Astyanax mexicanus: one gene and its partner. The protein of the gene in region 1 interacts with the protein of each later gene in a pairwise test. Links are inferred from orthologs where the notes say so. Each region holds a gene or a part of one and is shown on either strand. Other genes may lie near its edges.

Region 1 (17,249 bases):
ACTGGTCCTCTAAACTTAGATGTTAGACTTATTACTGTTTCATTAATCCACATGGTATCACATAAAAACCAATATAGCCATAATTCCTGGTATTTGTTACTGAAAAGGGGAAAAATGCTGTGAAATCACGTAAACAATCGTTGTGACAGTAGTAAACAACCCTTGACAATAACTATCGTAAGATGCCCTGTTTTTCCCACCCATACTGTACCCTGGGCATACTAATAACAGTCCGGTACTGAGCATGCAGTTAATGCTCACCTGTACCTGCTTACTTACTGTCAGCTCTTCCTCTTCCTCCTGCTTCCACTCACACTCCTCATCTGTTGGCTCATACACCGCTTTGATGATGTCACTGCGCTGTAAACACAGTGACACATTAGGTACATCCCTGCAAATGTATTCTTATGTAAATGCTTTTGACATGCCTGTGTTCGCACCATGTTAAACCTAATAAAAATGCAATCAGAATTTCTCAAATCTAACACTGCTTTGCAACACTAATCTTTAATTGACTCTGCACCCAGGACTTAATGAAAGTGGAAAGAATGTGCTATGTGGAAGCAGTTGCATTACAAAATGAACCAACCACACAACCTGCACGCAGATCTGGGCATGGCTAGCTTCAATTCCTGGCGTGGACTGTACCTGAACCCACGTAAAGGGAGGATGATAACACCAATTTTAGGAGGATCTGGGATGAGTACTCCAGAACACTCCCAGAAAATGGCTTTTAAATTTGACTAAACATACCAGCCCTGAAGGTCCCCCTGAAAGCTTCCCCAGGTGCAGAGGAAGAAGGAAAAGGATGGGGGAAAGCAGCTGTTAGCTAACAGACTGTAATGCTAACATGGCTAACACTAGCTAGTGTGTTTGGCTACGCTGTCCCAAACATCAGTCTGCAGAGCTTCTAGCTGAGATTAAGTCTTACTGACTGCCTGCCAAAGCGGTACAATTGTTAGCAACTGTATGGTATAAAAGGTACATCAAAAATGCATTTCGAATTTAGAACCAAATGAGTTTAACAGATTAACTAATTCATTTTAATATCAGTATATCCCAACTGTCCACCACTCTGCAACCTACAAAACTACAATTCCCATCTCGGTCTGAGAGCTAGTCTTAGCCATTCTCTGAGAAGCAGAATAGACTGCAACAGGAAGTAGTCAGCGGTCTCACCTTGTCAAACAGAGGCTGGTACAGAGCCGCATACTTCCTTTCCAGCTCGTGAACTTCTTCGTAAAACTTTGCTTCGATGTGAGCACATTTCACCTGCAGGTTCTTCAGCGCATTTACACGTCGCTTCACTACCTTTGGTAAACTGGACAGGAAACAGACATGGGTTACAAATAAACCTTACACAATAACAATACATGTTTAATATGATTACTCAAGTCATAAAAAAAAAAAATACAAAAACACTTAAACAGCAACAAACACAAGCACCACCTAGGACATAAAGTAAAAGGTGGGAAGTAGGAAATGCCCGTTTCTGTCTTAAGACACAAGTGTTCTCACCTCTCCATGTACCCGGAAGGGGAACCCACCAGTCCGTCCAGCCTCTCCTGCAGAGCTGCCAAGATCTGAGGATTCTGCATCATCTGCACAGTCAGCTGCCTCGCTAAACACAGACACAAGCTTAGTTATACACTAAACACCTCTAAATAAACAAATACACTACAGGAAGGGTAGGAGGTGCTCTAATATGCTCATATAATACACATGCTCATTCTGACACTACAGAAAGTGATGGGGCTATGGGGGTCACTGCTGCACTTGCGGCTTTCCCTAACTGGGGAGTACTGCATTATTGAATGCTAGCATGTTGTAGTGCATGTGCATGCGTGCACAGCCAGTAAGCTGTTACTTTACACTGATAAGGTCAATGAGGTCATTAGCCAATATCAAATATCCCTCCCCCCCACCACTTTGATGACTGAGCAGAACAGTAGGTGTGTGAGGAATCAAAAAACTGCAGTTTGATCTTCACTTTCTTACCCAATCTAAAAATAGCTCAGTCTAAAATTGGAAGATTCAGATGATGCAAATTTTAAAGCTTCAGAAAAACCTAGACCCCTTAAGCCTTGTCCAAAAATCAGCAGCCACAAGCTCCTCTAAGCAGCTGCTAAGCACTCTGAACATTACTATAACTGATGCTCTCCTCCTGCTCTGTACCAACTGTATTTTAAGAGCCATTTCCGCAGCATACAGGTGCTGGTCAACGAATTAGAATAATTTGAAGTAGTGCAATCATGAAATTCTTTGAATGCATTTTTTTGTGCAGAAAGCAAATCAGGTGTTCACCGCACCTGTCCTACTCGTTAGACTAATCACAGAACTCGTTACCTGGAAAAAAAATTGCTCAGCTGAGCTTTCCAAAAGGCCCATTTAGGCCATTTAACTGTGACACTTGTTTTATTGAATTAGAATAATGGAGAAACCGTTTCATTGAATTAGAATAAATGCTCGAATTTTTGTTTTCTGTGAAGAGTGTTCACTGTGCAGTATAAAGTCAGGGTTGAGTAGAATTTCTAAGTTGTAAAATCAATCATGGGTAAGCAGCGCGACCTCTCAACCGGAATAGTGCCTCAAATTCAAGCCCTTCGCCAACAAGGTTAGACCCAAACTAAAATTGCTGAGCAGCTCGGCATCAGCCAGTCTTCCTTCTGCAAAGCTCTCAAGAAAAACTGCAGCAAGCGCACCAACTGTTCCGGCGTCCGAAAAACTTCTGCTCGCGACAACAAGCAGCTGAGAAAGATGAGAAAGCAACCGGTTCAAGTCCACTTCCGAGCTCACCGACTTGCGGAACAAGCAACCGGCGCTGACGTCTCCAGATCAACCACTTACCGTCGTCTGCGCGAACTCGGCTTCAAATCTCGCGTTCCAGCAGTAAAACCGATGCTGAACAAGAAACAAATGGAGTGCTGAAGACTGGCAGAAAGTGGTCTTCAGTGACGAATCACGCTTCTGCATCTCCTTCGGTGACCAAGGTCCTCGTGTCTGGCGTCGTGGTGGCGAAACCTACAACCACGAGTGCGTGAAAAGATCCGTCAAGTTTCCCCAGAGCGTTATGGTCTGGGGATGCATGTCCGCTCGAGGTGTAGGGAAACTCTGCTTCCTCAAGAAGACTGTCAATGCTGCCGTATATCAAGATGTTCTGGAAACGTTCCTGATTCCGACTGTTGAGGAACAGTTCGGCGAAGAAGACTTCATATTTCAACAGGATCTTGCACCGGCTCATGCGGCAAAGTCGACCAAAGATTGGTTCACTAAAAAACAGCTTGAAGTTTTGGCATGGCCGGCCAACTCGCCTGACCTCAATGTCATTGAAAACCTTTGGGCCATCGTCAAGCGGAAAATTCGCGACAGAAAGCCTACTACGCTGGACCAACTGAAGCAGAACATCGCCACTGCCTGGGAAGCTGAGAGTGCAGAAACTTGCGACAAGCTGGTCAAATCGATGCCGCGGAGACTTCAGGCAGTCATACAAGCCAAGGGGACAGCCACAAAATACTGAGAAAGTGATGATTGTAATTAAAATAAAAATTATTCTAATTCAATGAAACGGTTTCTCCATTATTCTAATTCAATAAAACAACAGTGTCACAGTTAAATGGCCTAAATGGGCCTTTTGGAAAGCTCAGCTGAGCAAATTTTTTTCCAGGTTCTGTGATTAGTCTAACGAGTAGGACAGGTGCGGTGAACACCTGATTTGCTTTCTGCACAAAAAATGCATTCAAAGAATTTCATGATAGCACTATTTCAAATTATTCTAATTCGTTGACCAGCACCTGTATATAGGCCATAGGAAATTAAAGTTCATGATTTCTGCAGGGTGGAGAACACTGACTGAATGACATAACTTTCCTAATACCAACAAACATCCTTTTGGGATTTTTTCAGACAAAATTATTCAACCCCAGTGACGTACATAAGTACAACTTCCTTTGGCAGTAACAGCGTCCTTCAGATGTGCAACATAGCTTGACAAGCTTTTTGCCGCGATTAATAGGTATCGTGGCACATCCCTCATTAGTAAAGGCCTTAAGTGCATTGACGCATGTTGTAACTGTCTTCTTTAAATCTAGTCATAGTTCTTGCACAGAAGCCTTTATCTGGCAGCATGTGTCCAAACAAGGACATTTGTTAGAAAATTAAAAAAATACTGTGAAATTCACATGGTTATTATTAAGTCTTTATTTGATCTGATTGTAAACAACAAATATAAATGAACTTGCTAACTAGTGAGATTATTTATTATATTTAAGTGGTGTCAATCGCTTAAAAAATTTAATCCGTTTAATCACAACAAAATGCTGCGATTAAATTGCACGTTTTTATTCATTCTTTCATAAAAATGCAATTATAGGTGTATTTGTGGTGTCAATTTTAATAGTAAATTTAATAATAGTAAATAATTGTATGTTTGAGTGGCGATAAAGCCAATGTAGGGTGCTGGAATAAAGAATGCATGATAAATTAGATTGTAAAAATCTCTGCTTGGATGTGAGATTTCCAAATTTGAACTTACTTTGATGAGAAGAAAAAAAATCTCAGGAACGAGGAGCAGGGAAAGTGGAATAGTGTGTGTGTGAGAGAAAAAGCTCTATGACCAGGACTAAGCTAGAAGTTCAGAGCGCACCGTTCAATCATTCAGCCAGACAACAGTTCAGTGCATTGGGCGGGGCAGATTACAGCAGAAGCAGGAGTCAAATTTGGTGCCTTAATTAACTTGCGTTTAAAATATAGTGACGCAGTAACAATACAAAAAAAAAATAATAATAAAAAAAATTCACGATTGGGTTAACACCTAGGTATAAACCCTGCGGTTCGATACCTTTTAGGTACAGTTAGTGGAAAAAAATATTTGTTCTTAATTAAGTGCCACAATCAGGCTCATTGTTTGTTCCAACAAGATCCAAAAGATGGAGCCTATGATTAGAGTAGGAAAGAACCCTGGTTTGAAAAATGTAATAAGAGTACTCCAGCCCAATATCAACATTCCATGCCAAAAAACAAAACATGGTTATGATGAAGATTCATTATTATTAAATGGAGAAAATAGAGGCTACACAGAATGCCCAGCCTTTTTTTTCACCAACCGTACCACTTCAAAATAATTTGTTTCTCTGATTGAACCATTTATAGGTATATGTTGAGTAAAATGTTCATGTAGATTTTTTTGTATCACTTAATGTTGAATATAAAACTACATTTGCATTGAAAAGGTAAGGACATTTTTAAAGGGATCTTTGAAAGGATTTGCTGCAATTGGACAATGTGCAAGGTCAGCAGGTAAGCAGACAGTACCTTTACTGTTGACATCCTCCCCGGTCTCCTCCTCCTCCACCTCCTCAACATCTTCCATATCAGCTGGGTCCAGCTCAGCCTGCTCTTTACTGAAACAAAAATTAAAATAATTCATTATTTTAAAAAAATGTCCTAAAACTTGATAGCTCATTTGCCTCTGCTTTACAGAAACCGAAACCAGAGGCAGAGCCAGACTATACTACTATCTGGTAGACCCACCACCTCAGACTGAATTCAGAATTCACAGCACATTTTAAAAAACCTGAGAGGAATTTCCCACCAGTAAACCCAGTCAGTCCAGTAAGTAAAGTCCCAACTGTACAAGTTCATGTAGGTTCCGCAATTCAACTACTATGTAATGTAAATGGTCTTCCCCACAAGGCTGGTCCATCACTTCAAAACCTTCTTGCACTATAGCACAAGTTTATAAGCCGTATTTCTGGCACAGACAATTAAGAGTCCAGATCACTACCATTCTGTCACATTTCCATCAGTCCTGGTTTATTTTAATATACTGCTTTTATCTTCACTGCAATCTATTTTTACTTTCTTTCTGGTGTATTCTTGTCTCTGATATGCTTCTCCAACAGTTTTCTTCTAGGATTCTCACACTCACACCCGTGTGTGTTTTTGGGTTAGCAGCAGGTGGACAGGGCCTGGCTGCGAGGCAGATGCACAACAGAGGTGGGCAAATAAGCTTTGGCACTAACTTCACATTGATAAAGGAACTACCCAATACCCACCAAATATCACCCTGGCACCCACCCCTCATTACCTGCTGTGCCTTTTTCAGTACCTACTGTCAATTTAGTATCCATTATGATTTATTTAGCATCTATGATAAATTATTTACAATATCCTGACGTGCAGCTCTAAGCTGAGGCATGCTGGGAATAGAAAGAAGCGGTACTTACTTGTCGAGATCGGCCATGTCTGTTTTTATTCCTGAGGAGAGAGAGAGAGAAAAAAGATTTTGGATCAGACATGACAGACAGTAAGTGTTTAAAGAGACTAGTCACTCTGGGCAGCAATTAGGCGACATTAGGTGCGCTTTCAGTCCGTTCCCAAACTACTTCTAGATCGGTTGTGATTGCAATAAGAAAACAATAAGACCTTGAATAAATTCAACTATCAGCTGTACTGGACAGGTTTAAGCTGGCATATCAGCACTCTTACCAATAAGAAGGGAGACATTCAAATGATTTTTATATTTTTATATAATCGCAGAAAATGTAAACAATCTACTGCACTACGTGTGTGGGGGGGGATGCATCTTCATCCATCTTTGACCAATGTCAAAGCAGCCAGTGAGGACCTTTTGTATTGTGTTTTTTCAGATGAGTAAGCTGTAATCTATAGTGGAGGGGTCCCATCACAGGCCAGGCTCTTTTGTGGAGCGCTATAATAACGTCATTCTACTGAAAGAGTTTTTAAGAGCTGAACTTTGCAAAATCCACCAGCGGCAAGGCACACAGACAGAGGCACACAGACAGAGGCACACAGACAGAGGCACACAGACAGAGGCACACAGACAGAGGCACACAGACAGAGGCACACAGACAGAGGCACACAGACAGAGGCACACAGACAGAGGCACACAGACAATACATGATACTTGCCCTCCAGGTCTCCTTACACACTTAACTATAAATCTGAGAGGTGAACGTTATTACTGCAGTTTAATATCTGAATCCTGTTTAAATGTCATTGTTGAATGGCAAAACAAATCCAGAAAAAAAATAAGCACCAGAATTATCTGCACCTTCTCCATAACTAACATGCCAGACCAAAGGTAGAGGACCTTAAATTACATTTCTGCCTTTTACTGCAAGTTTTAGAAAACAGTTACTCATAGTAATAACCTGTTGTGGATCTTATTTCTTACTTGTCTTCGTCAGAGTTGGCATACTCTGAAACTGTTATTTGTATAAGCTATATTAGTTATACTTATTTCTCACAGCAAATAAACTAAATAATAAACTGTAAATATGTTAAACCTGAACACCAAAAGCTGAGACCTTAGGTTTAGGAGCTGCTGTTGGGATCTTGATAGACAAACTGACACTGCATAAGATCTAAAAGCAACACAGCTCTATTCACTGAACTTTACTGAGTTCTTCCCCTTTAGCCTCCACAGAACCAAGCCAGGCCACGTGGACATCTTTAACGCCCCCACCACCACTAAACATTACCAAAGAATCCATCATTATATTTGGGTAGAATGTTTTGCTTACATTCTGAGACTAAAGCAAAGCCTATGCTTATTTTACACTGGTAATACATGGAACACATTACAAAACTAAACTCAGACTAAATCATAATCATAGAATCCAGACCTATGTATTAAGACCGTAGTGAGTGAAAACCCTCCTTTTACCACAGATATGCAAATGAGATTAGTTGCTGCCTACATTTAAAAAGCTGTGATGGATCAGAGCAGAACTGCAGCACAAAAGCCCAGCTTGTTTTCTGTGACCTCACAAATACACTCCATTCAAAACGAAAATGTTTCTCTTTCAAACATGTAGCTACAGATTTAAAATTAAACAGTAATACAGATGACCTCACAGCAGCCCACTCAGACACAGTAGCTACCACACTATTTTGGACCGCATGGGCATTAGTGGGCCTAACTGGCAAAAAGCAGGGCAACGTTTTATGACTGGACTATAACCGTCATTACTTTATTACTACTTTAACTCTTAGCAGCTCTAATTTCCCCATCACCACCACCTCCAAAGAGTGAGAGCAACCGCTGCCCCCTCGCCAAGACCGGCCGCGGCTCCACGTGTTTCCCCGGATGAGCCCGTTAGCACTGAGGCTAACCCCTTAACCCGGAGGGGGGACGGATTAAAACCAACAGCGAGAACTGCCGGTACCTGCCACTGTGGACCTACATTTCTCCGGTTGGGGGGTGTTTTACAGCTCCTTGTCGGCCCTACGAGCAGCAGGGGAGTTATTGTGAGTGATGTGGAGGAGCAGATTAAAGCAGCGACCCCGCGGTGTGTCTGAGGTAAAATAAAGATTTTCAGCTCTGTTACTCTCCTCAGCTCCAACACCGCGCCCGGTCGCCGCGGGAAGGACAAGAAACGGGGGGAGGAACAACCAGACAGGCGACACAGCCATAAATGCCCACAGCCCGCCTCACTAACACAACATCTAACCCGTATCTTACACCCGCGGGAACTCATTCCCTTACTTTCCGCGATACAGCCGCCTCTCCCCGCCCGCGTGTGGGCCGCGCTTCGTTAGCTTAGCATCACCATCAAACACATTCCCCCGCGGCTGCCATCGAGAGAACACGCAGTTCAGTGAGCCACGGCGAGCTCACCTGCTGCTGATCCGGTGTACCGGCGGGTGCGGGAGACTCTGTAGGCGGAGATGAAGCGGTCTGAGGCGGGACTGTGAGGCCGGGACTCGGAGACTCTGCCTCAGCCTGCTGGATCTGCGTGTCTCTCTCGCGCCGCTCTGATGGCGGTAAAAAAGGGAGCGCGCTCCCGCCGCGCGCGCTCATATAGCGTCATCACGCAGGGCGGCAGTCACCGGGGTAACGCCGAGCCAATGGGGGAGGCGACCGGTCGATGTTCCCGCCTTTCCCGCCATGTTGTTTCTGAGGAGAAAGTTGTTAAAAATGGGGTTTTCTGAACTATGAGACAGAAAGTAATGCCATTTCAGACTGATAGTCAGGGGTAAATTACTCAAATACTCACTCAGAGGAATCAAATGTTGGAGAAATAACACTTTATCACTGTATATTAAGATTTAAGCTTATAAAAAGGCCAATAATCTGAAACATTGTAGCTAGTCTCTACACTGAATATATAAAACTACATACCAGTCTTAATTCATTGTAACCACACCCCCTATATTTACATAAACCCCGCCCGCTGTAGAAAGCCACAGGTAGTCAAGGACTACACTTACTTCAGGAGAATAATGTTTGTGGTGAGTAGCTGACCACATGTCACACGTTGAGGCTAAAGTAAAATACGCTGTCAAGTAAGAATAATAAATAGAATATAAGATAATTGCATTGATTTTGTTGTGCTATATGGGTCATGTGAGTTGTAGTTATGAAATGTGGGTTATGTAGTAAATGTTTTACTTGAAGGTTAAAGAACAGGCTGATAAAATGGTTTGTGTTGATGGTTTCTGGCCTAATAGTAAACGTAAAGGCAAAATAAAACCAGTTTACAGGTTTGTAGGTATAATTTAGCATGTAAATGAAATCCAGATTACTACTTAATGTACTAAAACTCTACTGTATTGTTTTCACTTTGACTCATGTGAGGTTTCTCCTCCACTGCTTCAAACACGGGGAACCAACATCTGACCACAACCAAACTGTAAAACATCTCCTTAAGACTATTTTATTGTTTAGAAACAAACTAATAAATTGACCTGTGCCAAACTTTCAGAATGTTTTAAAGATATATTGCATTTTTTTATTATTAGCTGTATTTTAGCACCAATTCTTTTTTTCACTTCTGTTTACGAGACTCCACTTGAGCAAAGGTGTAAAATATACTACTGAACAAGAGTTTTTCTGTTTTACTCCTCATATTAGATTTAGATAAATACAAGTCAGTATACAGTTTCTGCACTTTAAGTTAGACTTTTACATAGATATATACACACACTGACCATAAACATTAGAAAGGTGGTGCTATAACTGGGTGCAGTAATAATAATGATCCCCAATATTATATCCTCTAACTTAACCCCAGGATCAACTCTAAAATAACTCTACCATAATTTTTAAGATAACCCTTAAACCCACTCTTAAAATGGAAATTCCAAGAATATCCACCAGTTTAAATGGCAGCACCTGCATGGAAAACTAACCTCCCTAAATTAATGATGAAAGCAGTCGAAAAATTGTCTGTTTTACTAAAAGGCTACAGTAACTGGATTGAGGGTTATGTGCACGACGTGGAAGGTAGGTAATTGCCTTTGTTTGCTGTATTGAAAAACTTGTGTGTTTGCAAGCTAGTTTATAATTTACAGACTAGAAAAATACCTTGTAGATTGTCTAACTGTCTTTACAGGCTTCACTGAACTATCTGTGCAGGCAAATAACGAAGAAACACTCTTTTGTAAAGTGTCAATAATAATATCAAATCATACATAAAATAAATGACCATTAAATGCCAAATACAGTCCAGCTAATCATGCAAGTGTACACTCTTGTAAGACCAGGATACCCACGGTAGCATATTAACTAACTAGCTAAGATGGCTACTCTAAAGATACTCTATGGCTTGACTACCGCTACCCCCCCACTCGTGTTCACATTAGCAGAGAAAATAGAAACATTCATGGTCAACCCACAGACCAGCTCCAAATACCTACAACCGCTGTGCATCATTCAACTATTCAGCACACTTTGTACAGGGTGAGGCTGTATGTAGTCACTTGAGGTATGCAAAAGCACATTTGGACAAGCCAGGTTTACTTTGGGGCTGTGTGACTAGTGCAGGTACTGGGAATCTTGGTAAAGTTGAGGAACGCATGGATTTCAGAAAATATCAGCAGATTTTTCAGAACAATGTTTAAGATGAACAGTACAATATTCTGGAATGGCTATCTCAGTCCCCAAACCACCTGAATAATATTGAAAATATGTGGTGTGATTTAAAGTGTGCTGTTTATGCTCAGAAACCATCAAACCTGACAGAACTGAAGATGTTTTGTAAAGAAGAATGACCCAAAATACCTTCAACAAGAAGCCAGACTCTTATTGAAAGCTATAGGAAGTGTTTAGAAGCTGTTATTTCTGCAATATACTAAATCATGATGTATTTTTTCTGTTTGGGTGCCCAAATGTATGCATCTGTCTAATTTTGTTTAATTATTGCACACTTTCTGTAAATCGTATAAACTTCTTTTACTTCTCAAATTTCACTGTATTCATCTGCTACATATGTTTCACTGAAATTACTGATCCAAACAACTAATGATTTATAAAGGAAAATCATACCACTGTATATAAAGCTTATGTACTAAAGTGGTAACTTAAAGTGTAATTTATTTCTCTTTATGTATTATTACTTTTATTTATTTTTATGTAAATCAACTTATAAATGAACTGATGGAGCTAGGAGAGTGTATATGAGTGAATGTGCGAGTGAGTGTGAGTGCTGTATCAGCAGGGTCTTTATGTTCCAAACTGAAAAAGTTGCTGCAGTGTCACTCTCATTCAGCACTCGGATTAACTCTGCATTACAGCAGTCTGACACACACACACACACACACACACTCTCTCTCTCTCTCTCTCCTACTACAGAACTTAGGGGCCATTAACCTACAGAGAATGAGAGATCATTACCCCTTTTTTCATCTATCAGTTTTTCTCTCTCACACACACACACACACACACACACACACACACACACACACACACACACACACACACACACACACACCGTATCTGATAAAGATGCTCCAGTATCTCACAGTGATGAGAGATGGTTGTCTGAACCTGACAGAGCAGCATTTCATTTGATTAATAAAAACTAAAGGCAGAAAGATCCACAAACCAACAACTGAAAACAGCTGAAGTAAAGGCCTGGCAAAGCATATTAAAAGGTAAACCCAGTGTTTGGTGATGTCCATATGTTCCAGACTTCCAGTGGTCTTTGCCTGCAAAGGATTCTTAACAAAATGTTAAAAATTAACATTGTATTTATGGTAAATTTAATTAGCTAATTTTTGTTTAACCCCTTGAATGAAAGTCTACAGTTGCATCTCATTTGTTTAATTTTAAATCTAATAAGGTGACATGCAGAGCCCAAATAAGGGAGCTTGTTTCAATTTCCAAATATTTCTGGACCTAACTGTACACCCAATCCAGCCCAACTAATTTTACTTTTATATACACAATGCAACCCAACCCAGTCTAATCTTTTATACCCAAACTGATACACCAAATGCAGTCTAACCCAATCACGATGTTGTCACTGACAGAAGAATGAGATGGATGGTTGTCACTGTTTATTGATTATTAATTGGTGTTACAGGTGATTAACATACAGGAAGTTAATCCTTAAATACAAATACATCATCATTAACCGTGTAGAACAGAGAGATGCAGCGCACACTGTCCAAGTGACAACAGGACACACACACACACACACGCACACTCTGTGGTCGGTGGGTTAAAACGCGTCTCTAAGGCTGATTATGGCACAGTCACTCACGCAGTAGTGAAAAACAACCAAAATTAATAAAAGTGGAAAAAAACTTAAAGCAGGCTCCACCCATCACATGCCCCTTCTAAGTCCCACCCATGGCATAGCCCCACCCAGTCTCTCCCAAGAACCCCGCCAACCATAGCCACTCTAAAAAGGCACATTAATGATAAATCTGAAGTTATTACTGGTGTGACCACATTCAAACCTCTAAAACACGCACACACAAAACAGATAAAAGACACATGTGATATGACGACAGTGTCTAAAGCATTTGTGTAGAAAAACGTTAAGTAACTCATTCCTATATTCCTCCCATTTGGCTTTAACTGATAATATTTACATTAAACGAAGGGGGAGGAGCTACAATAGGAAACATTCTGCTACACCTTTACTATGGTCAAATTACAGGATTAGTCCTAAACCCTAATTCTACCTAAACCTTATTCCTAACCTGAAGCCAAGCAGTGTCCTGCTGGTCCGTATATATTAACACTAGCAATGGCGCAGCATGAGGCTGGCGGTTCTCATGCTCTTCTAGCTCATGTAGATCTACAGCTAATGTAAAACTACATACCTGAAATACCATGGACTCCCCTACACCTACACCTAAGCTCCTCCTACTATTCCCATAGGTGTGTGTTGATTAGTAAAAAATAAAACACATACTCTTACACTCGTACAGAGACACAGTTCATCTGTTGCTTTAAAACTAGGAAGGTCCCGATCCAGTGTTCTCATCCCTGTTCAGATTTGAGTCTACTGTAAACGTTTTGAACCGCTGGAGGATTAGAATTACATCTGCTAATTAAAAAAATTCTTAATTACAAAAAAGTATGTCTTATTATGGAGGCACAGCAGCAAAAAACAAATTATCCCAACTGAATCAGGTTTTATTGTAACAGTTTAAAGAAAACTCAGTATCAAAGGCAAATTCAGGTCCAGAGAGTAAAAATGACCACTGCCTGGGTGCCTCCCACAAAACCCACAAAAAATGTTTTTACTTAGGTAAATTTATCACTTGTAAAATAACTACACTAAATTAATGCAGATCTGAACGGGCTGAGAGATGTGTTTTTGGGGTGTGTATAAAATGAGTCTAAGCCTAGTGTTTGTCAGCACTGTTAGCCTAGCATGGCTACAGAAGCAAACATCAGACACTGGATCAAACTGGGACATCCCTCATTAAAACCTTCCATCCAATTCCCTTACAAACACACCAGTAGGAAAAAGTGAACACTGTAAAATAACAAAGATAATATAACAGTATAATAATAATAATAATAATAATAATAATAATAATAGTGATAAAGTAAAAGTAAAAGAGGCGGTGCTTTTTAGGCTCTCTCATCTTTTGCAGTCCAGAGCATTTCCCATAATGTACTTTATCTGCAGTCAGTCCCGGAGCACCTCTCACTGAAATTCTGGATCCTTCAGAGCGTAAAAAAAACACAAAGCGAGGCAAAGTGGACATGTGCAGAGGTCAGGAGCAAGAGAGTGGTGGACAGGGAGGCGTCCATTCTGGTTTATGTTCGGTCCCTGATCCCAGGCTGGAGTTCAAGAATAATCTTCTGATTATTTGTAGATGAGGGTGAGGACGATCTGAGCACAGATGAGGAAGAGGATGATTGCGTAGTCTCTCTGAGTAAGGAAGGAGCTGTGCTCAGTCTGGACCGACACTCGACTCCTTAGAGCACTGATACTCCTGCACAGAAACACCAGGTACTGATCAATAATTAATAATCACACAAATATGAAAAACAGTGGAGTAAGCCATCAGTTCCACCCAATCCAGTCTAACCCAATGCATCCCAGCCAAACCCAATACATACCAATCAACCCAATCCAGTCCAACCTGATACATCCCTTACCAACCAAGTTCAACCCAACACATCTAGTCAAATCAGACAGTCTAACCCAATGCATCCCACTCTAGTTCAACCCAATCCACTTTACCCACCCATTATCTAACTCTGTGATTGTCCATGCATAAACAGTGGTGCTTGAAAGTTTATGAACCACTTAAAATATTCTATACCTCTGGATTTATACGAGCTAAAAATCAGATTTTCACACACCCTAAAAACTAAATAAAGAGGACCCAATTAAACAAATAAGAAAAAGATTATACTTGATAATTTATTTTATTGAGGAAAATGATCCAATTTTACAAACTATGTGAACCTATAGGAGTAGTGGGTATTTGAAGGTGTCAGGTGTTTTCAATCAATGGGATGACAGTCAGGGGTGAGTGGGCCTTGTTATATTAAAAAAACACAGGGATCTATCAAAGACATTTGTGGAAGTTTATCATGGCTTGAACAAAGAAGATTTCTGAGGACCAAGAGTTGTTGATGCTTATCAGGCTGGAAAAGGTTACAAAATCATCTCTAAAGAGTTTGGAATCCACAGTCAGATAGATTGTGCACTAATGAAAAAAATATCAAGACCACTGTTAGCCTCCCCAGGAGAGGTCAACAAACAAAGATCACTCCAAGGGTAACTTTGGCTTATATTACTGTTCATTAGTTCACAGTCAGGAGAACACTAAACAACAATGGTGTGCATGGCAGAGTTACTGCTCTAAAAAAAAACATTACTGCTTGTCTGCAGTTTACCAAAGATTATGCGGACAAGCCACAAGACTACTGGAAGAATGTTTAAGAGACTAATGAAACTAAAATGGAACTTGTGGAGAAAGGAAACACTGCATTCTAGCAGAAGAACCTTATTCCATCTGTGAAATGTGGTGATAGTATTATGGTTTGCTGCATCTGGCCCAGGATGGTTTGCCATCATTGACGGAACATGAATTCTGAAATGAGAATTCTAAAAGAAAAAGTCAGGATGTCTGTTCGTGAACTGAATCTCAAGAGAAGAAGAATGGTTAAAAAAGAATAAAATTAAAGAGTTAAAAAGTTTTGGAATGCCCCAGTTAAAGTCCTGACTTTGAACCAATCAAAATGTTGAATAAGAACCTGAAGTTAACAGTTAATGTAAGGAACCAACATACCAGAGTTAAATAAGCTACACTACAGAAGTTTAAACTGTCTGCACAAGGCCGTTACAGTATCAGTTTGATACCCAAACTGAACTCAGGCTGAGATTTCACACCACTTTCTACAGGTCCTGTCAGGTCAGGCTCAAGAAAATGGTCTGGCCAACACTTATAAAAAAAAATAAAAATAAAAAATAAAAAAATAATAATAATATATATATATATATATATTATATATATTATCCCAATTTTCTCTCACTCTCTCACTTGCACTCCTCTATGACTAGTAATGCCCCAACACCAGGAGAGTAAAGACTAGCATATGTCTTCTCTGATACATGTGAAGTCAGCCACCACCTGTTTTTGAAATGGTGCGGGTAGCATTATAAGCTAGCCAGTGCGCTCTGAGAAAAATGCAGCACTGATACTTCAGCTAACAGACGTCTTGTGCTGACCGACATCACCATGAGTGTGATGTGAGGAGAGGGCGCCATCTACTGTACCAATCCAGAGAGAGCATGGCAACTAGACTTTCTACCATCTCATCTGTGCTCAACTCCTTTTTCCCTTATGTCATTTTTTTGGGGGAACAAAACAACAAAAAAACATTAAATCCACCAGCCTTTCAGTTTACAATCCCCTTTCACTATAATTTTCAAACTTTCTGCTCCTGTTCATTGTTTTTCTTCTTTCCATTTTCCCACCATTTCAGAAACTTCAGGTTTTATCTGTTAGTCCAAGTCATCCACTTGTTAGCTGGACCCTCTTACTACAGTTTTGGTTAAGCTTGTCTCTCTACGTTGATCCGTCTCATCTCTGCAATTATTCACTCTTCTCACTTCACTGGAACTGTTCCTGCATCATTTAAAACCTCAACAATTATTGAGATCCTTAAAAAAACCCGCTGCTGATCTAGTGCTGAACGATTTTTACAATTAATTCAGATAATCTGAATTGGCGTTTTAATGTGATTTTTAAAATGGAGTAATTGCGAATTTACATACAGACATTTTATCTTTTTAATAAAAAAATTCCAAAAACACTACTCGTTTCTGCAGTGTTTATCTGTCTTACCTTGGTTACCGGCACCTTCCACAGACCAGTGAGCACGTATTTTTTAACCACTCCGCTCTGAGGTCTGAGCTTGTACCGAAAAATGTTCCAGCATTAAATACATCGTACCGCTTCTAAAAACTGCAGCGCCATCCCTCTCCGGTGAGGATCCGTGATTAATTGTGGAAAACAATAATAATCACTCTTTTAAAGTTTTTTTGTGACTCGTTTAGTGCGTTATTTCTAAACTTTCAGTTGTAGACCCGCATAATCCAGTGTCTGACCGTGTGTAATATGAACACATGGGCTTGTAAACAATGTTTTGAGTCACTCAATGATTCGACTTAACCCAATGTGTCTGAAACATAGACTGTATATAAGTATGGACAGGACGTCCCAATTCACTTTCATTACGGCGGTTTGAAGCCAAACTATTACTAAATAATTGGTAAATATACTAAAATTAGGGAGAAGAACAAAGTGTGACTACTAATGAATTTATGGATGGAAATTATTCACTTACCAAAAAAACAGCAGAGAACGTTTCCCTGAGGATATGTTACAACAGTTAACTGCTAAACAAGCCATTGCTTTACTTCAGAAATGTAATTTTTAACAGTAAAATCTGAATTTTAAGAAAGATCTGACTGTGAGCTCCGCGACTGAGCCACAGTGCGCATTCATGCTCTCAGGCGACC
Region 2 (16,933 bases), on another chromosome or scaffold:
CAGTGCTGCAGTTCACTGTAATTCGGTTGGTTTTCAGGCTGAATGAAACTCTTCTTCCACACTCAGGAAAACAATCCCACCATTTTGCTCAGGCTGGGAATCCAGTGATCCGGATGGCCATGCAGATTCTGGTCATGGGTGCTGGCATATGTATCATATTAGCAGTAGAAACACATGATGCAGGCGGAAGAACAAAGACTCCACTTACACTTAAGAAGAATCAACGCTAGAAAAAAGCCTGCAGGGTTTGGGAGGAAAACGGTGTGATCTCTTAGGCAGGCTGCACATAATCACAGTAGTCTGGATGTTGGATCATTAAAACAAATGCTTTTATTACAGCAGAAGATTATGGAATATAGAGGGCAATTATATTAATCAAGGCAGTAAACATAAAGATAGGGATAAGGCTAGTAGGTGCACCAATATTCAGATAAATCCCCAAAAAACACTAAAATGATTTCCTTCATAAAATTCCTAAAACAAGGTAACACACAAAAGTGAGTGCACCTCAAACATCTTGTAAACTTGTAAACACATGAATAAGAAAAGTAAATAAAAGCTTGTGTCAGAACAGTGTCTCCACACACTTAAATAATTAAAGTTCAGTCAATCATTTAAGTTCAATAAAATAGACTCTTATTCAATAAAATATTTCTTAAGGCACTATTCACAACTGCTACAGTCATATTAACCCCTTCATAATTGTGTTCAGAATTCTAGAGTAATTCAAAAACCATGTACCTCCAATTTTGCTGTTTTTCTTCTCATGATAATCTAATAATAATAATGTAATAATAAAGTGGCAGGTTTTTTTCGTTTCAAAATGTCACAATAAATGAAACTGTAGAGGTGCTACAAAATTATTGAAAATGTTTGCTGTTCATATGTTCATATGTTTTTTTCTTAGTATTTTGGAGATACAAGGTTTTTCAGAGACAATAAAGATATACAGTACCTGTCAAAAGATTAAATAAAATAATCTTTTGAATTAAATAAATTCAGTGTTTTTTCATTATTTTTAAGTTGTCTGCATTGTGGATTAATACTAAAGTCATCCAAACTATTAAGAAAAATCATATGGAATTATTTACTACATAAAAAACTGACCAGAATATGTTTTATATTTTAGATTAATCAAAGTAGGCACCTCTTGCTTAGATGACAGTTTTGCACATCTTGGCTAGATTTCAGTTAACAGCTGTGCTGATAACTGTTTGAGAGCAATAGTTGTAAAGTTGTGAAGAGGTAGAGTTGGTATACAGTGAATATACATATTTGAGTAATGTTCTAATTCATTATATGGTAAGAACTACTCAACTAAGTAAAGAAAAAATACTTTAAGAAATGAAGGTCAGTCAATGAAACGGTATGATGAAACTGGCTCTAATCAGGACTGCCCCAGGAAGGGAAAAACAAGAGTTTCCTCTGTTGCACAGGATAAGTTCATCAGAGTTACCAACCTCAGAAACCGTAATATAATATATTACATTTATGAGTATTTTGGTTTGCTTAACACTTTTAAGTCACTACATGCTTTCTTATGTGCTCCTTCATAGATGACTTTAGTACTATTATACAGTGTAGGAATTAAATAAAAAACCTTCTTGAATGAGAAAGTGTGTAGAGTGTCTAGACTTTTGACTGGTGCTGTATGTGGAATTTCTTTTCTATATATTATCCTTTTTATATCCCTTTAAATATGTAATACACATATTAACACATTTTCACAATCATTAACACATGATAAATACACCATAAAGCCTCTTTTGGCAACACAATTATATCATTTTATCCTGCAGATGCGTGTCTGGGACGCTGAGCACAAGCGCAGTAAGATCCTTCATTGTTCTTCACTGTTTAATTGTTTAAAGAGCATTTCTGAGGTTCTCACACAGCCATCAGCTTTGACGTCAGCTGTTTGGGCAGTCCAGTGCAGCTGGAGTTCTTTAGGGGCAGTCGGTGCTGCCGGGTGAACTACGTGATGTTACTGTTTGCTGACATCACACTTCTCAACTTAACACTTAATTGCAGCAGTTGCTTTGCTTCTTCTTCCTGAAGTCGTTGTGATCTCCAGTGATTTCTGTAAGGAAGCGGGTAAATAAGATTAGTTGTCATAATCAGTATTTTTTTAGCTGCTGTCTAAAGCCATATCCGGACAGGATTAGTTTCTCAGGGAGTCCTGGGGTCATTTTTTCTCTTTTATGGTGGTTTTCTTGTGATCTTATTCCCATCTGGAATGACCATGTATGTGTTTTTCTCAGACATCTTCTGACAAAATTACAGGCTGAATTATCTACTGTTTTTCGCTGAACTCCGTGGTAAATTTTAGTTTAGTTTCATCACCTAGCTATTTGTCCACTGCCACTATATTTTTTTAACAAAATTTTGCACAGTGCAAGTTAAGAGTTTTTTTGTTTTTAAACTGAGTTCCTTAGTGTACTCTGAGGACTTCCTCAGTGTACTTGTGACAGGGTATTTCTGTCTGATTTTTGATTGTTTTAGACATTTTTAAGTTCATAAAAAGAGTTAATTTGGGAGAAAATTGGGGCCAAACTTAATTATATTGGGGCCAAACTTAAAAAAATAATAATTATTTTGTGTTAAATTAAAAAAATAATGCATCAAAGTTTCAGGATGAAATGTGTGCATTAATGTGTTTTTGTTGAAAGCATTAAAAAAATATAATTAATTCCAGGGCAAAGCTTCAAGCTGTTCATTACATTCATAATGAGCATGTAATGTTTGGGGAATATAAAGTCCTATCTGGACGGGATTAGTATCTCAATGGAACTTCTGAGAAAAATATTTCACACTTCTACTCAGTGATAAAACCAGACTGCAATTGAAAAAAACAGGAGCACCAGTGAGTTTTTTGGCTTTCTCTATCACATGACATCACGTTCAGTAGCTCCTCCATTTCCACTCGCTGTCGTGTTTATGTGGATCTTCATGGAAACGTGCACACGGAGTGTAATTATGGTGCGTGGCAGTGGACAAATAGCTATTTTATTAAATGCGAGGGGATGAAACTCAGAGATATTTAAGAAAAGACGCTTGTTATAAAAGAAAATTGTTTATATACTATTTAATATGTGTTTATTTTGTGATAATAATAGTACGTTCTATAAAACATAAGTATTAATAAAACATAAGTATTAATAAAAGTATGTTCTGATACTGTTGTTTCAATACCAATTAAAGATGATTTTTTTTTTAACTTAAGGGGCAACTTTTATATGTTCTTTCTTTTTTTACTGCATTGTCACTGCATTATGGGTGATAAATGATTCAGACTTTGACTCGTGGGCAAGAAATGTGAACATTCCTACCACCAAGTCAACATATCTGCCAATAAAAGCCATACCCATACCACACGCATTTAAAAGGCCTTCCTGAGGTGAACTGAGTGTATTAGAGCCATGCATGGCAGGAACAAGGGAATGTTTTATGCTAAATTCTAAAAACCACTAGAAGGCAAATTAATGCCACATTTTGCCCACATGATAAACTGGATGCATCTCAGAATCTGATGTGCCAATTTCTAAAATACTAAAAGGCTACTTACTAACAACATTGTCTGCATGTCTCGTGTTCTTCCTTTCCAGTTCCGCTAAAACAGAAGCCTCGAAGGTAAGTGACGCAACCCGGAGAAACAGCTGCCTCACGCTCTCTCCTGTTCAAGGAAAATGGAGGCATTGCACTGTGGTACTATTGCTGTGACAGAACCATTACCTTCAGTTACGAAGTTAAAGCCAAGAGAAAATAAGTCATGATGTCATGTTTGTAGCATATGCCAGCTACCTACTTTAACCAGTCCTACCTGACAGAGCAGAAACAGCCCAGTACTCAGCTTTTATCTCCTCTGACAACTTAATGGCTTCCTCCTCCATCTGGGCCAGCAGGTCTGGATGCTGACACATACAGTAAACATGAGTGCACCAATCAACTGTAAAGGATTTATTCATCTGAACATGAACTCACACTCTGGTCCTTCTTGGTCCCCACGAGGAAGAGAAGCACACTGGAAGGGTCGTTGTCTATCATGGCATCTTCAAGCCACTGTCTGTGAAGTTACCCAACATGCAGATCCCAGTGATATTAAACAGGGCTGCTTACACAGCAGAATTAAATTAAGCTCCAAACAGCATCTAGGTGTGTCTAACGTGATAACTACAAGAATGTGTGACAACAGCATGACTTACCTTGCATTAACCAAAGAGTAGTAGTTGCTCAGATCAAATACAACTATGATGGCTGCAGTTCAGAAAAGAGTAAACAAAAAAATGCCAGTTTTTAGCATGAATACAGTCAGGCACATCCAGAGGTGGAAAAAGTACTGAAAAATTGTAATTAAGTAAAAGTACCTTTACTTCGCTACAATTCTACTCAAGTAAAAGTAAAAGTACCCATCTAACAATCTACTTGAGTAAAAGTAAAAAGTACTGAATATAAAATGTACTTTGAGTAAAAGTTACATAGTTACTTTTAATTATTCGATGTAAAAAATTAAAAACAAATCATAAATTAAATTGGTTTTAATGAACTATTATTCCACATAATAATTTGGACCTTTCAGGCAGTATTTGTTCACACCACCCTATAAAACTTTTTTTGTTTTTAAGAACAAGTAGTATAGGTTTCTATGATCCATTTTTTTCTTTACTATTAAAAAGTTATGGTCATATAGGTGACTATAAACTGTATTTTTATAGTTTCACAGTTTCATTATTATTTTTTTATTAACTTGCCATTGCTATGCTTTAACTGCTTTTTACATGTTTTTCTTTACATTTAAGCAGATTGTTTAATGATAAAATATATACCACCACATACTTTCTCAGGTTTGATGTGGAAGTTTTGAAAGCTGACAGCTCTGTGCGGCGAGGCACATTTTGCATTGCATGAGGACGTTATTGCCTCGTTATTCTACGGGCAAGCATCCGTGACAATTTTTTTTTATTATTATTTAGACAATTTTTATTTATTTATTTATTTATTTTTACTCAGTAATTGGGAGTTTTCCAATGTAGCAACGTAAATTACTTGTGTCAAAATGTACTTGAGTAAAAGTACAAGTACCTATTTTAAAAACTACTTAAAAAATTACAAATTACTCATAAAATCTACTTAATTACAGTAACTTGAGTAAATGTAATTCATTACTGTCCACCTCTGGGCACATCCAAACCAGTCAGTCAGAATGTTACTGTATTATTACCTTGGGCCCCTCTGTAATAGGTGGACGCAATGCATTTAAACCTCTCCTGGCCTGCAGTGTCCCATCTGCAGTAAGAACAACCATTCAATAGTAACTATTATTACATCTCTACTTATTTCATTAGAGCATTCATTTCTGTTTATTCTTCTATATAGAGAATCATGACTCACAGCTGCAGGTTGAAAGGCACTCCTAGGACCTTAAATCTCTCCATCTCAAAGTCCACTCCAATAGTGGCTTTGTAGCCTTTGTCAAAAGTATCCTTACAAAACCTTCAGGGAATTAATTTCAAAACTATTAGAAATGTAAACATCTCTGTTGAGAAGTCCCAAATGCGATACGAGGTGCTACACAGCAGTTTTATGGCATACAGCACCATATTATTAGTGTTAGTGTTACAGTATTATTGATATTATTTAGCACACTTTAGATTAATGGTAAAATCGCTATAAAAAATAAATAGACCACTTCAGTTTCTGAATCAGTTTCTCTGATTTTGCTCTTTATAGGTCTAAGTTTGAGTAAAATGAACATTCTTTTCATAGTTTTATTTTATAAACTACGGACAACATTTGGCTGAAATAACAAAAAAGATGCAGAGCTTCAGACCTCAAATAATGCAAAGAAAACAAGTTCATATTCATAAAGTTTTAAGCGTTCCAAAATCAATATTTTGTGGAATAACCCTGTTTTTTTCATGCATCTTGGCATGTTCTCCACCAGTCTTACACACTGCTTTTGGATAACTTTATGCCACTTCTGGTGCACAAATTCTAGCAGTTCAGCTTAATTTGATGGCTTGTGATCATCCATCTTTATATTCTTTATCTGATTATATTCCATAGGTTTTTAATTTGGTAAAATCAAAGAAACTCTTCATTTTTAAGTGGTCTCTTATTTGTTTCCAGAGCATTGTGAAATTTATACAATTATAAATATTTGAACAGTGTAAATGATGTGCATGGTTTAATTTGCTTTTTAATTTTGCGACACATTTTTTTAGCTATTTGCACATGCATCATACATTGCGATGGTGATGGTGAATATATGGTGATATATTGTGAAGCTCTAATTCACTCTACATCAAAACACATTTGAATGCAACTAACAAAGTCAGATATCTTCAGATATTTAACTAAAAAAAACACATTTGTAGTAATGATAATAATACAATTACAGACCATTTTATAGCTGTAAATAACTCAATAAAACAATTATGCATTTTTTGTGATGGAAAAAAAACAAAAAAAAACATGCATTTGACTTTCTGCAATATGTGTTCTATGGAATGATCTTGCTCCGTTCAGCTCCTAAATCGAGGTGAAATTCTTTATTTTTAAACTTTTTTAACAACCCCTCCTCCGTCAGTGACAGCTGGTATAATGAGCTTTTCATTATACTTTATATTAGTATGATTTGTATAGCAACCCAGTATAATGGATGCAGTGCTCACCTGTTAATTAAACATGTTTTTCCTACTCCAACATCACCCACGACTATTACCTTGGCTACATTAAATCTGTGGACAAAATAGACAAAATTCAATCTAAATATAATGACCAGTGAAGAGTCCAGACTGCACAATGAACAGACAGAGAACAGGACTTACCCCATGGGGTCTGATGTCTGAGTCTGACATGCGTTTTGGACGGTAACGTGAAAGCCGTCTTTGGTGTGCAGAGCAGCATCCTTGGTGAAGTACTGTATTAAACATAAATCCAGTATAATGTATTTTTCCTGATCATACAAATATAAGTTATTAGTTCAGATTACCAATAGGCCTGTCACCGTAATCACATTATCAATTTAGTATATGATATATGGAGATAACTTATATAACAATATAATGTGCTGTCCTAAATGCTGCATATTGTGGGTACTGAGCAAGGGAATTTATTGACATAAAAGAGCCAGTATGTCAAATCTTTTCCCATTTCAGTGTTTAAATATTATTAATACTTAAATATATCTGGAACTTCTCTGAACTTCCCCTTTATTACAATTTAGGAATATCATATAGAGTTTGCATTACTTTGCATGTAAATCCTTATGGTTAAAACAAACTAAAAAATAAGGGGATTTGTGTTTTTTTTACTGGACAGTATCAATATTCATTTTAAAATGTTGGAGGGTTACCAGTGGGAGCTCACAGATGATCCTATCGTCTCGTATGGGTGGTAGAGAACTCATAGTTAGGATCTATGAGAAGTTGTCTAACGAACAGAAGAGCACACAAACACAAATTCAGCTGTTTGCAGATTGTCAAAAAGTGTCAACAAGGCAAATTTTATAATAAAAGACTAAATAATAAAAAAAAACGTATGACCTAACTGTATTATTTATTGCTTTACTCATCAAATAGCTTATTATATATTTTTAAATAATATCATATAATATGATATGTAAAAAAAAATGAGCACAATGATTCTAAAATCATTATCAAAAAAGAATTGCTATATGTATAAATTCAGCATCACTCAAAGGTTTACATTTGATCAGATATTTGATTATGTATTTATATATTACAAATCTGTAAGAGCAAAACCTTTGGCACTACAAACCTGTTATGCTAAAATGTATGTTTATTTCCTAGTATCATTGTTCTGCATTTTTAATTTCAAATATATAAAAGTACATTTTATTTAGAGTCTACATTTATTAAATAAATAAATCAGTATCATAGCACAGTATCATATTTAATAGTAATGGCTCTGTAGTCACCAGACATGTTTCAGAAAGCAGCTTTTAAACGATAGAGCTAAAGTATGAGTTAGTACTTCTTAGAAACATATTAAATACTGTAAATAAGTGATCTAACTCTTAATTTTAAACAGAAAAAATATAAATCTTGGTAAAACACCCAAAACTATTACATGCAATCAGTAGAGCTGTGGGAAACAGTACATACCACAAGAGAATATCTATCCTCAGTAAATCCAGCTTCCTACATTCCCTCAGAGTCAGAAATCACTCCTCACAGGGCTGAACACTCTCTCAGTCTGCAGGGCTGAAACAGATCATTCTTCTTATACAGCATAAATTTATATTAATAAAAGATTTTAAAGAAATCCCATTCATTTCCCTGAGCAGTAAAAGCAGGATCAGATCTGTGACAGTCTTCAGCTGGACTTGTGAGTTTTAACGCCCATATTTCTGCCTCCTACTGGTGATAAATAGTCTCAACAGTGCCACTTCTTATTCCTCACATTAAAGCTCAAATAAAGAGTAATAAACGCTACAGGGCGCTGCTGAGTGAGTTCTCTGAGTGAGGATGGATATGGCTTAACCAGAAAACTTCTCGACAGGAGAATAAAAACCCACTAAATAATCTTTTGTAGTCCCAAATGAAAAATTGTATATGAAGCAATTGAAAAAAAAAAAACATAATTTATTAATGTTTGTTCATTTCTATATCAAAACATTGTCCCTATCTAAATATAGAACAGTATCAAATATTTAAATACCGAAGACACATTTTTTAAACCTTAAAACCTTTAAACCTGCTCTGGTTGTAATTTCAGCATTATTTTACCAACCAGTCAGCTCACAGCAGCAGTGATGCTAGCATCTTTACTCCCCCAAACCTTTTACCCCTTTACTGTAGAAATTTGGACATAAACAGGTATTTTTCTTTAGTTTATTAGTAAAATACTTTATTCTACTATAGACACTTTATTAAATACCTATGTATGCACATTTTATATAGTATTCTTACTATCTGCTGATACCTGCACCTCTTGCACATTTCTTTTATTTGTCACTGCATTGATAGTGTTATTTTTTTTATATATGTTAATTTTATATTTGTAGACATTTTCTTGCTTATATAATACAGTATTATTTATAGTAAATATAAAATATTAATTAAAATGTTACTACTTATTTTAGTACTATTTGAAATTGTTTGTAGTTATTGTTTTATCCTTTTTTCTTTTTATCTATCTATGATATTTTTTGTCTTATTTTTTTTTTGCAATATGTTCTCCTATTGAAATGTAAGCCTGAGTTTAAATAACGAATGATTAAATAACGTATGATAGTATTATTTATAATCTAGCTATATACAGTCTATGATCTAGCTATATTGCTTCCGAAACTACAAGAGCCATTATGCACCGCGCTGTGTTCTCGCGAGGACAGCGCGCGACCGAGCCCCTGCGAAATAGAGCAGGAAACCCCTCTGTTCTTCCTTTCTCAACATGGCCCCGAAGGCGAAGAAGGAAGGTGCGCTCGTTTTCAACATTTTTGGTTTAAAAGTCGCTGTTAGACTGAATATAGACGCGGGATATTTGGTGTGAGGTTGTCTGAAGGTGTAGTGGTAGTGTATGTGGGGTTTTGAGGTTGGAAAAGGGTCTGTGGAGACGATATTAATCTGTTAAAGTGGCGCAGCGCTGAAACATGTCCACACTGCTCCCGCACACGTTACTGAGCCTGGGTCTCAGAGCTAGCCGGCTGTTGGATTAGCTAGCTAGGCTACAAGTTTAACTGACTAGTGTCAGGCCGAGTGTACTAGCTAGAGAGACGTGAGCTTTTATAACGTTGAATTTGCTTTAAAAGCGGTGTAATATTGTGGTTTATTGACTAGAATACCTTAAAGTTTAAAAAACGTTGGGGCACAGTTAGCTAGTGAATGCTATGCTAGCAATAGAGACAAGGTTTCTTCACTGGCCCTGTGAGCTATAACGTTAGCCAAGTTAGCTAAACTGTGTGTTGACTCTGCATAAGACATTTTCCCAGGCCCAGTTCATCTACATGGAATGTGTAGTTATCATTAGCTGGCCTACCAATTTAACCAGTTCCATGATAAGTTCTTTGATTCGAATCTTAAGCTATAAACCCAAGTTTGACTTACGTATCTCCCTAGCATACACGTGAATGTCCCTGTTAACCTGTAATTTTGGGTATTTGTTGGGTCTCACGTGTGACGTAATGATTGGAAAAATGTGTTTTTTGTCACTTATTGTGTTTTAAGACTTTAATATGTGTAAGTGGTGCCCCTGTCCTACTTGTAGTAACTATAACTATATTTTTGTGTTGAGGGTATAGTCCCATAGATAGTTGAGGTAAATGGTAGTCAGTTTAAGATCATTTTCCCTTCTTAAATAATAAATGTAATTGCATAATACGACTACATATGTAATATACTAAGAGTAATCAAGTTTCAATTATAATTATATTACAAATATTTAGACTTAAACATTGAAAAACATCATTTAAAAATATCCTACGGAACCTGAATCATAAATAAAACCATGCAGATATCAGTGATATGTAAAAAGTCTATAAATTGTACAATTATCTGATATTTTACAGACTTATTTTTATATAAAAAGTTAGCTATGATACTGCTTCATTCACATTGATACACACGTTGAGGTTATGTCCATGTATTGTGATAAGATGATCTAATAATGTGACTAGCTTAATTGTAGGCATTTGTTGCAGATAAGTTGGTTTTATACACAAGTTCTGCCACACAGTAATATACTATTATACTATCAGTTCTTTGCCATCTTGGTGATCACTATTGTTGCATTTAGCTTAACAGTGTTGTCCATGTCCCCACAGCTGTCCCAGCCAAGACAGAGGCCAAGTCAAAGGCCCTGAAGGCTAAGAAGGCTGTGTTGAAAGGTGTCCACAGCCAAAGGAAGAAGAAGATGAGGACCAGCCCTACTTTCCGCAGGCCCAAGACTATGCGCCTGAGGAGGCAGCCCAAGTACCCCAGAAAGAGCGCGCCACGCAGGAACAAGTAAGTTTACCATTGTCAGTGCTATTTACAGTGGTCCTTGTGGTTCTTATTTAGTATTGTTTGGCTTGTAGTTAGGGCTGCAACAAATGGTTAACATAGTCGACAATGTCTGTTATAAAAAGTCAACTAATTCATTAATTTTTAACAGCAGTGGACTACACAGTGCTCCCAAATGTGACACAACAAATTAGGCTTTTTAAAAATGTCTTCTGTGACAGGGCATTTCAATCCCACCTTCAGCCAAATATATTGTTTTAAAGTAAGAGTAAAAGCGAGGAAAAGGAGCCATTCCCACAGGAAGGAGAGTTGGAGGGCATAGCAGAAATAATTGAGTACAAAACTTAAGTACAATAATAATCTACAGATTAATTGACAACAGATTAATACCAAAATGCAGCCCTACTTGGAGACCAAACATTTTGTTGGACAGTAGCAGGATGCACATGATGGTAATTGCGATCAAAGCATGATATTTATGATTACACTTTTTTCAGTGCTGATGCATCTTGTGTAACATGTTTTGAATTCTTGTTTTCTCAACATGTTTCCTAGATTTAGTGTTCTAATTATTTTTATTTAATTTCTTCAGGTTGGACCACTATGCCATTGTCAAGTTCCCCCTGACCACTGAGTCAGCCATGAAAAAAATTGAGGACAACAACACTCTGGTGTTCATTGTTGACGTCAAGGCCAACAAGCATCAGATCAAACATGCAGTGAAGAAACTGTACGACATCGATGTGGCTAAAGTGAACACACTCATCAGGTATTACTTTTTTTTTTTTTTTTTTTTTTTTAATGGAAAATATAGTAGTAGAAAATGTGTGCTTTCTGTGTAATGATGTAAATTATTTGTGAACTCTGATTCATGATGTTCTCAAAGGAACCACTGATTCACATGGTGTAGTTTAATTGAGAGATGTGATGAATGCGATGACGGGTAGAATATTAAAGTATTTAATGTGCTTTTTAGGCCCGATGGTGAAAAGAAGGCATACGTTCGTCTGGCACCAGATTACGATGCGCTGGATGTTGCAAACAAGGTAAGCAGTCTTGAGCAACTAATTATTTTTGGGGTATTTGAGCTTTGAGCAGCAAAAATGTGTACATCTTATGTTTATCAAGTTTGTAAGCTTTTCTGTTATGAACCTGGATAAATGTACAGCATGAATAACAAAACAGGTTGAAGTATTTTGAGCACATGATGTAAATGTTTCTGACTGAATCAATGATGCATTCAAAGGAACCACTGATGCTATCCTAGTTCTGCAATGCATTGTTTTCACTTAGTGTTTCTTGAGTGTAATTTTTCTTTCTTCTACTCTCTTTCAGATTGGCATCATCTAAACTGCTCTTGAAGTGTACAGAAGAATAAATGTTTGTAAAAACATGCATGTTGCCATTTGATTTATTTCACAATTACTCTGGACAAGTTGCACTCTTGAAAACAAGTTTTTAGCAGTTATTTAAATAATAAGCTACTGCCTAAGGCTAAAACAAAAAAGTTCTTGATCTGATGAACACAATGTATTGTAGATCTCACATTGCCCAAATGTAAGGCTGGCTGTAAAGTACTTTATATAGCGTATTTTTGTGTAGAATAGGCTTCTAACAGAGGGATTATTTGGTTTAATTGACCTGGGAAGTAAACAAGTAGAAAACAAATCTTCAACCATGATATCGGTTCAAAAGATGTTGGACAAAGTCAGTTTCTTTGATTCATAGATTGGCTGTTTTGAAAGTGTTGCATTATTAAAAATTTACCTATTTTTATTATTGTTCGGGCAGATATATATTCTATTTTTTTTTTTTTAAACTGTGATCAATAACAGATTTACCCAAGTGTTTTGAGCTATATTTAGTTTAAACGGTACAGCATGTATGTGGTAGTAAATCAAATTCCTCAGCCACCAAAGGTGCTAAAACTTCAATATTTAGTTTAAGTTTTAGTTTTGAAAACTGGGGAAAAAAGATATTTTCTAAATGGGATCTCACTCACCTCTCTTAAACATGGTTCAATCCTATTCCTGACTCTGTTTACTGTTCAGGTATTTTTATGTAAAAACGTCCTGTTTTCCTTTTTTTTTAAGCTCAATACTATTTGTAGATAAATTTCCTGGTTCCAGATCTCACAAACATACACACGAATGATCACATTGTAATTAAAGTAACCAATAGAATGGCATTTTATTTTGTTAGTGAACAGCATACAATAGCTGCTTATGACTGTAAATTGATTGGTTGAATTCACTACTTACACAAATGACTTCACTAGAGGGCAGCAGAGACCGAACTCACTGCTGTTCAATGGAGGCCAGAGCTTTCTTCTTCCAGCTGTCTGTGTATAACCTCTAAAGTAGCGCTGGAAAATATAAGGGGACTATTATTTAAAGGGCATCACTTTGTAGAATCTTAAAAATGGTAGAATTTTCACATGAACCGATATGGGTCTAAAAAAAGGTGCTTTCTAATTATTTTAATCATTGTATACAAATGTTTGTCATACTTGCCGGTCAGTATGTTGTGTGAAATTGTGCTAAAACCTCGAAATATTCTGAAACTTATTCACCACCCACTTAACACAAGTTTCTTAAATATTGACATCCTCCAATATTTCTTATTTCTAATGTTTTTTTTTTTATTTCAGGACAATGGGATTTATTAAAACAGAACTGTAGACAATTCTGAAGTTTAAAACACATGCATCTAACAGACTTTGCCTTTAAAATCTTTTTATACATTTTTAAAACTTTTATCAAGAACGGATTTTAGAAGATGTATTCGTTTTAATAAAGGGCTACTATGTCATGGGTTTTGCAAGTTGGCATGAATTCATTTATATTTTAATGCTCATGCCTAGCTGATCTTGTCATTGGGATCAAAATCTCAAAAAAAAAAATCCACTTCACAAATCATACAATCATTTGTTTGTGAGCACTGTATGGTAAACATAATACATTCATCTTAAATCTATATATATGTAAAAAGTTAGCACCATTATACAGGACAATGTTTTGTATTTCATTGTGTGGAGAAATACAGCTGTGCAGAATTCATAAACTTAGTGTGTGATGTAACTGTAGTGAAGAACTGTTCACTTGTCCAGTGTGAGGTTTATCAGTGCAGTTTGCGTTAGAATGTCTGATAAGATTGCTGGCCGTGTTCTATAGGAAACTAGTCATTGGCAAACTTCCTCACTCCGTTCTGGTGACTGCGTGGTGTAAAGAAGTCTGTTCGCAGAAGACGGTAGAAATATACAAGGATCATGATGTTCATCAGCATCATGCAGACCAGGAAAAACAGGGCGTGGTCCAGCCAGGAGTAGTTGTAGATGATGTACCAGGAGAGATAGAACTGAGCCCCGAGCCGGAAGCTGATGTACGTGGCTACATTGATCAGCTTATTAACTGTGTAGAGGAGAGAGTCTCTGGGCACTCCAGCCAGTTTGAGCAGTAGTCGTAGATGCAGAAATACACTGTTTACTTCAACGAAGAGAGCTATCACAGCCCCTGCCACATAGACACTCGTTATCAAAGCGTACATGAACGTTGAAATCACCTGCGAAACAAAAAAGCTTGTTAAGTTCACAGGATAGATCCTGGCCTATATTTGTGTTGTATTAAACCTGAAACCTTTAAAAATTAAACATTTCTTTGGTTTTATACATCAGAAACCGCAGTGATTTATTGATGCAGTGCTATTTTACAATTGGTCTCCTAGAATGAACCCCTAAAGCCCTATGGGTCAGTTTCTTAGACCTAGTTAGGCATTAGGCCTAGTTTTGCATAAAAACGGATTTTAAATTGATTTTCAATTCATAGGAAACTATAGATATAAATATATGACTAGGTATAATCCCTGTCAGGGCAACCAAAGTGGTCTCTTAATTTTTTCCCAGAGCTGTATATATAAGGGACCTCTGTTCTGAAGAGGTGCCCATCGAATGAGTTAATCCTCATTCAAATATATTACAAGCTAAAATATTTTTTTTTTGGTTTTTGTTACGTCACAAAAACTTTGTTGAGAAGTGACTCTTTTAACTGTGTTTACATACTATAATAAAAATGTCAGTTTTCCATAATATGTGCTGTTTAATCAAACTTCATCTCATTTTCTTTTACTTTACATAATTTTACTTGTTAACTTTGTTAATACTGACATTTTAAATGTTAAATATTGGCACAGTTCACAGCATATATCCTGGCCTATATGTGTGTTGTTTTAAACCTGAAACATTAAATTAAACATTTCTTTGGTTTTATACATCAGAAACCGAGGTGATTTATTGGTACAGTGCTATTTTACAATTGATTTCCTAGAATGAACCCCTCAAGCCCCATGGATCAGTTTCTTAGACCTAGTTAGACCTTAGGCCTAGTTTTGCATAAAAAAAATAATTTTAAATTGAATTTCAATTCATAGGAAACTATAGATATAAATATATGACTAGGTTTAATCCCTGTCAGGGCAACCAACCTTCAGTGTAAGCCCACAATTCTGTCAGTCCTGTAACACCATAAATAATATAATTTTTCAAGGCCCCAAAATAGAGCCCAGTGGGACTCCACATGTGCCAAATCAAAAGGCTACAAAATAATTCACCTTTCCGCAAGTTTTGGGATATTGGGAAACTTTGCGCCATTTGGATACAGTTTGGGACAATTGGAGACATTTTTGGAACTCTTTGGTTAATCTTTAATAAAATGAAAACCATTATAGGTAGCTCAACAAGATTATCAAAATATATAATTAATAAGAGGTTATTTAATTTACCAAATAGTGAACAATGGCCACTGTGAAAAGGGGTTAAAGATACAGAAGGTACAGATACTTTACTTTTTACTTTATTAATCCTGACATTCTAAATGTAAAATATTGGTACAGAGGATCATGCTCCCGCCTCATGACCATCTCTATCATTCATCTTACAATAAAGATCACAATCATCACTCCAAACATCCCCTTAAGCCAGTTCTGTCTTGCCAACATCCAGTGACTAAAGTGGGTCCAGCTTTCTAACTCAGTACAGAATTTGCAGTCCTACATTTTCTTCCTATACAACAGTCATATTTACTAATTCTCCATTCATTAGCAGAATCTGACTAAGGGGTTGTCTATAAACCGAGCTAGTCTAAACGATTTGTCTGGTTTACCAAAACATGATGAATCAGGAACTCCCATGACTCCCTGGCATGTCCACTGAAGATGATGTCACCAGCATCTTGAATGAAGTACCCTAAAAGAGAAAGTTCAGAATTCCAGATGGTTAAACTCAGTTTACTCTATTCATTTTCTTTTTTCTTTTTCTTTTTTTATTTGTCAAAAGTCACATATAAATCACATACAAATGATAGCATGCATACTAATGTGCTGTGTTTAAAATGTAGTGTACTTAAAATCCACTCCTAACACCTGAAACACTGATGTCATTGTCCTTAATGTTTTATATTCTGAGGTGAGGCTTTATAGTTGATCTGGCAAATAAAACCCCTATTTTCTCTTGTCTGGCATTAAAAATAGAACTGTTAAGAAAAACATTAAATAAACACTACATAAAGTATCTTAGCATGTTTAAAAGAATACTGCTTAGAACTGATAGAGTTAATTATTGTCAAACAGCGCTACTCAACGTCTACCACTATAGCCCTGGTAACACTAAGCAAACAGTCCCAGGCTCTTAACTACTACCACTCCTATCTACAAGTCAGTGCAAGGAGAAACAGAGCTGTGCAGTTTGATTTTCTGTTGGAACACTTTGTTTAAACCATATTTAAAAAATCACGTGGTTGTTAAACTGGTTGGATAAATTTGCTTCAATGGGTGATGGTGCTAAACTATTACATATTACTGCCCCATACATTGGTACAATTATACAACTGTCAAACTGTATATAATGAGGCATTGCTGAATAATAAATAAGTAAAGTTTGGTACATACAAAAATCCCATATTAGTTAAACAGCTTTC

What was found.
Region 2: the proteins of nap1l1 (region 1) and rpl23a interact in binary tests that used the Homo sapiens proteins (3 or more experiments, as listed by UniProt). The link is inferred for Astyanax mexicanus from reciprocal best matches to the Homo sapiens genes NAP1L1 and RPL23A.

What each region holds. Positions count from the first base shown.
Region 1 is NC_064409.1:26,591,170-26,608,418, forward strand, and holds the start of nap1l1 (nucleosome assembly protein 1-like 1), read right to left. Parts: upstream 8,806-17,249; 5' UTR 8,662-8,805; exon of another isoform or gene 8,642-8,661; intron 6,256-8,641; 5' UTR 6,242-6,255; coding exon 6,225-6,241; intron 5,400-6,224; coding exon 5,311-5,399; intron 1,622-5,310; coding exon 1,519-1,621; intron 1,322-1,518; coding exon 1,180-1,321; intron 361-1,179; coding exon 268-360; intron 1-267. Other genes in the region: osbpl8 (oxysterol-binding protein-related protein 8), read right to left, coding at 14,076-14,205. UniProt on the Homo sapiens protein: Histone chaperone that plays a role in the nuclear import of H2A-H2B and nucleosome assembly.
Region 2 is NC_064424.1:10,152,526-10,169,458, forward strand, and holds rpl23a (60S ribosomal protein L23a), read left to right. Parts: upstream 1-9,337; 5' UTR 9,338-9,417; coding exon 9,418-9,442; intron 9,443-10,786; coding exon 10,787-10,967; intron 10,968-11,403; exon of another isoform or gene 11,404-11,473; intron 11,474-11,556; coding exon 11,557-11,733; intron 11,734-11,940; coding exon 11,941-12,010; intron 12,011-12,162; exon of another isoform or gene 12,163-12,225; intron 12,226-12,299; coding exon 12,300-12,314; 3' UTR 12,315-12,357; downstream 12,358-16,933. Other genes in the region: rab34b (ras-related protein Rab-34), read right to left, coding at 2,022-2,080, 3,566-3,673, 3,821-3,911, 3,982-4,063, 4,203-4,254, 5,219-5,283, 5,389-5,490, 6,672-6,737 and 2 more; tlcd1 (TLC domain-containing protein 1), read right to left, coding at 14,142-14,525, 16,121-16,203.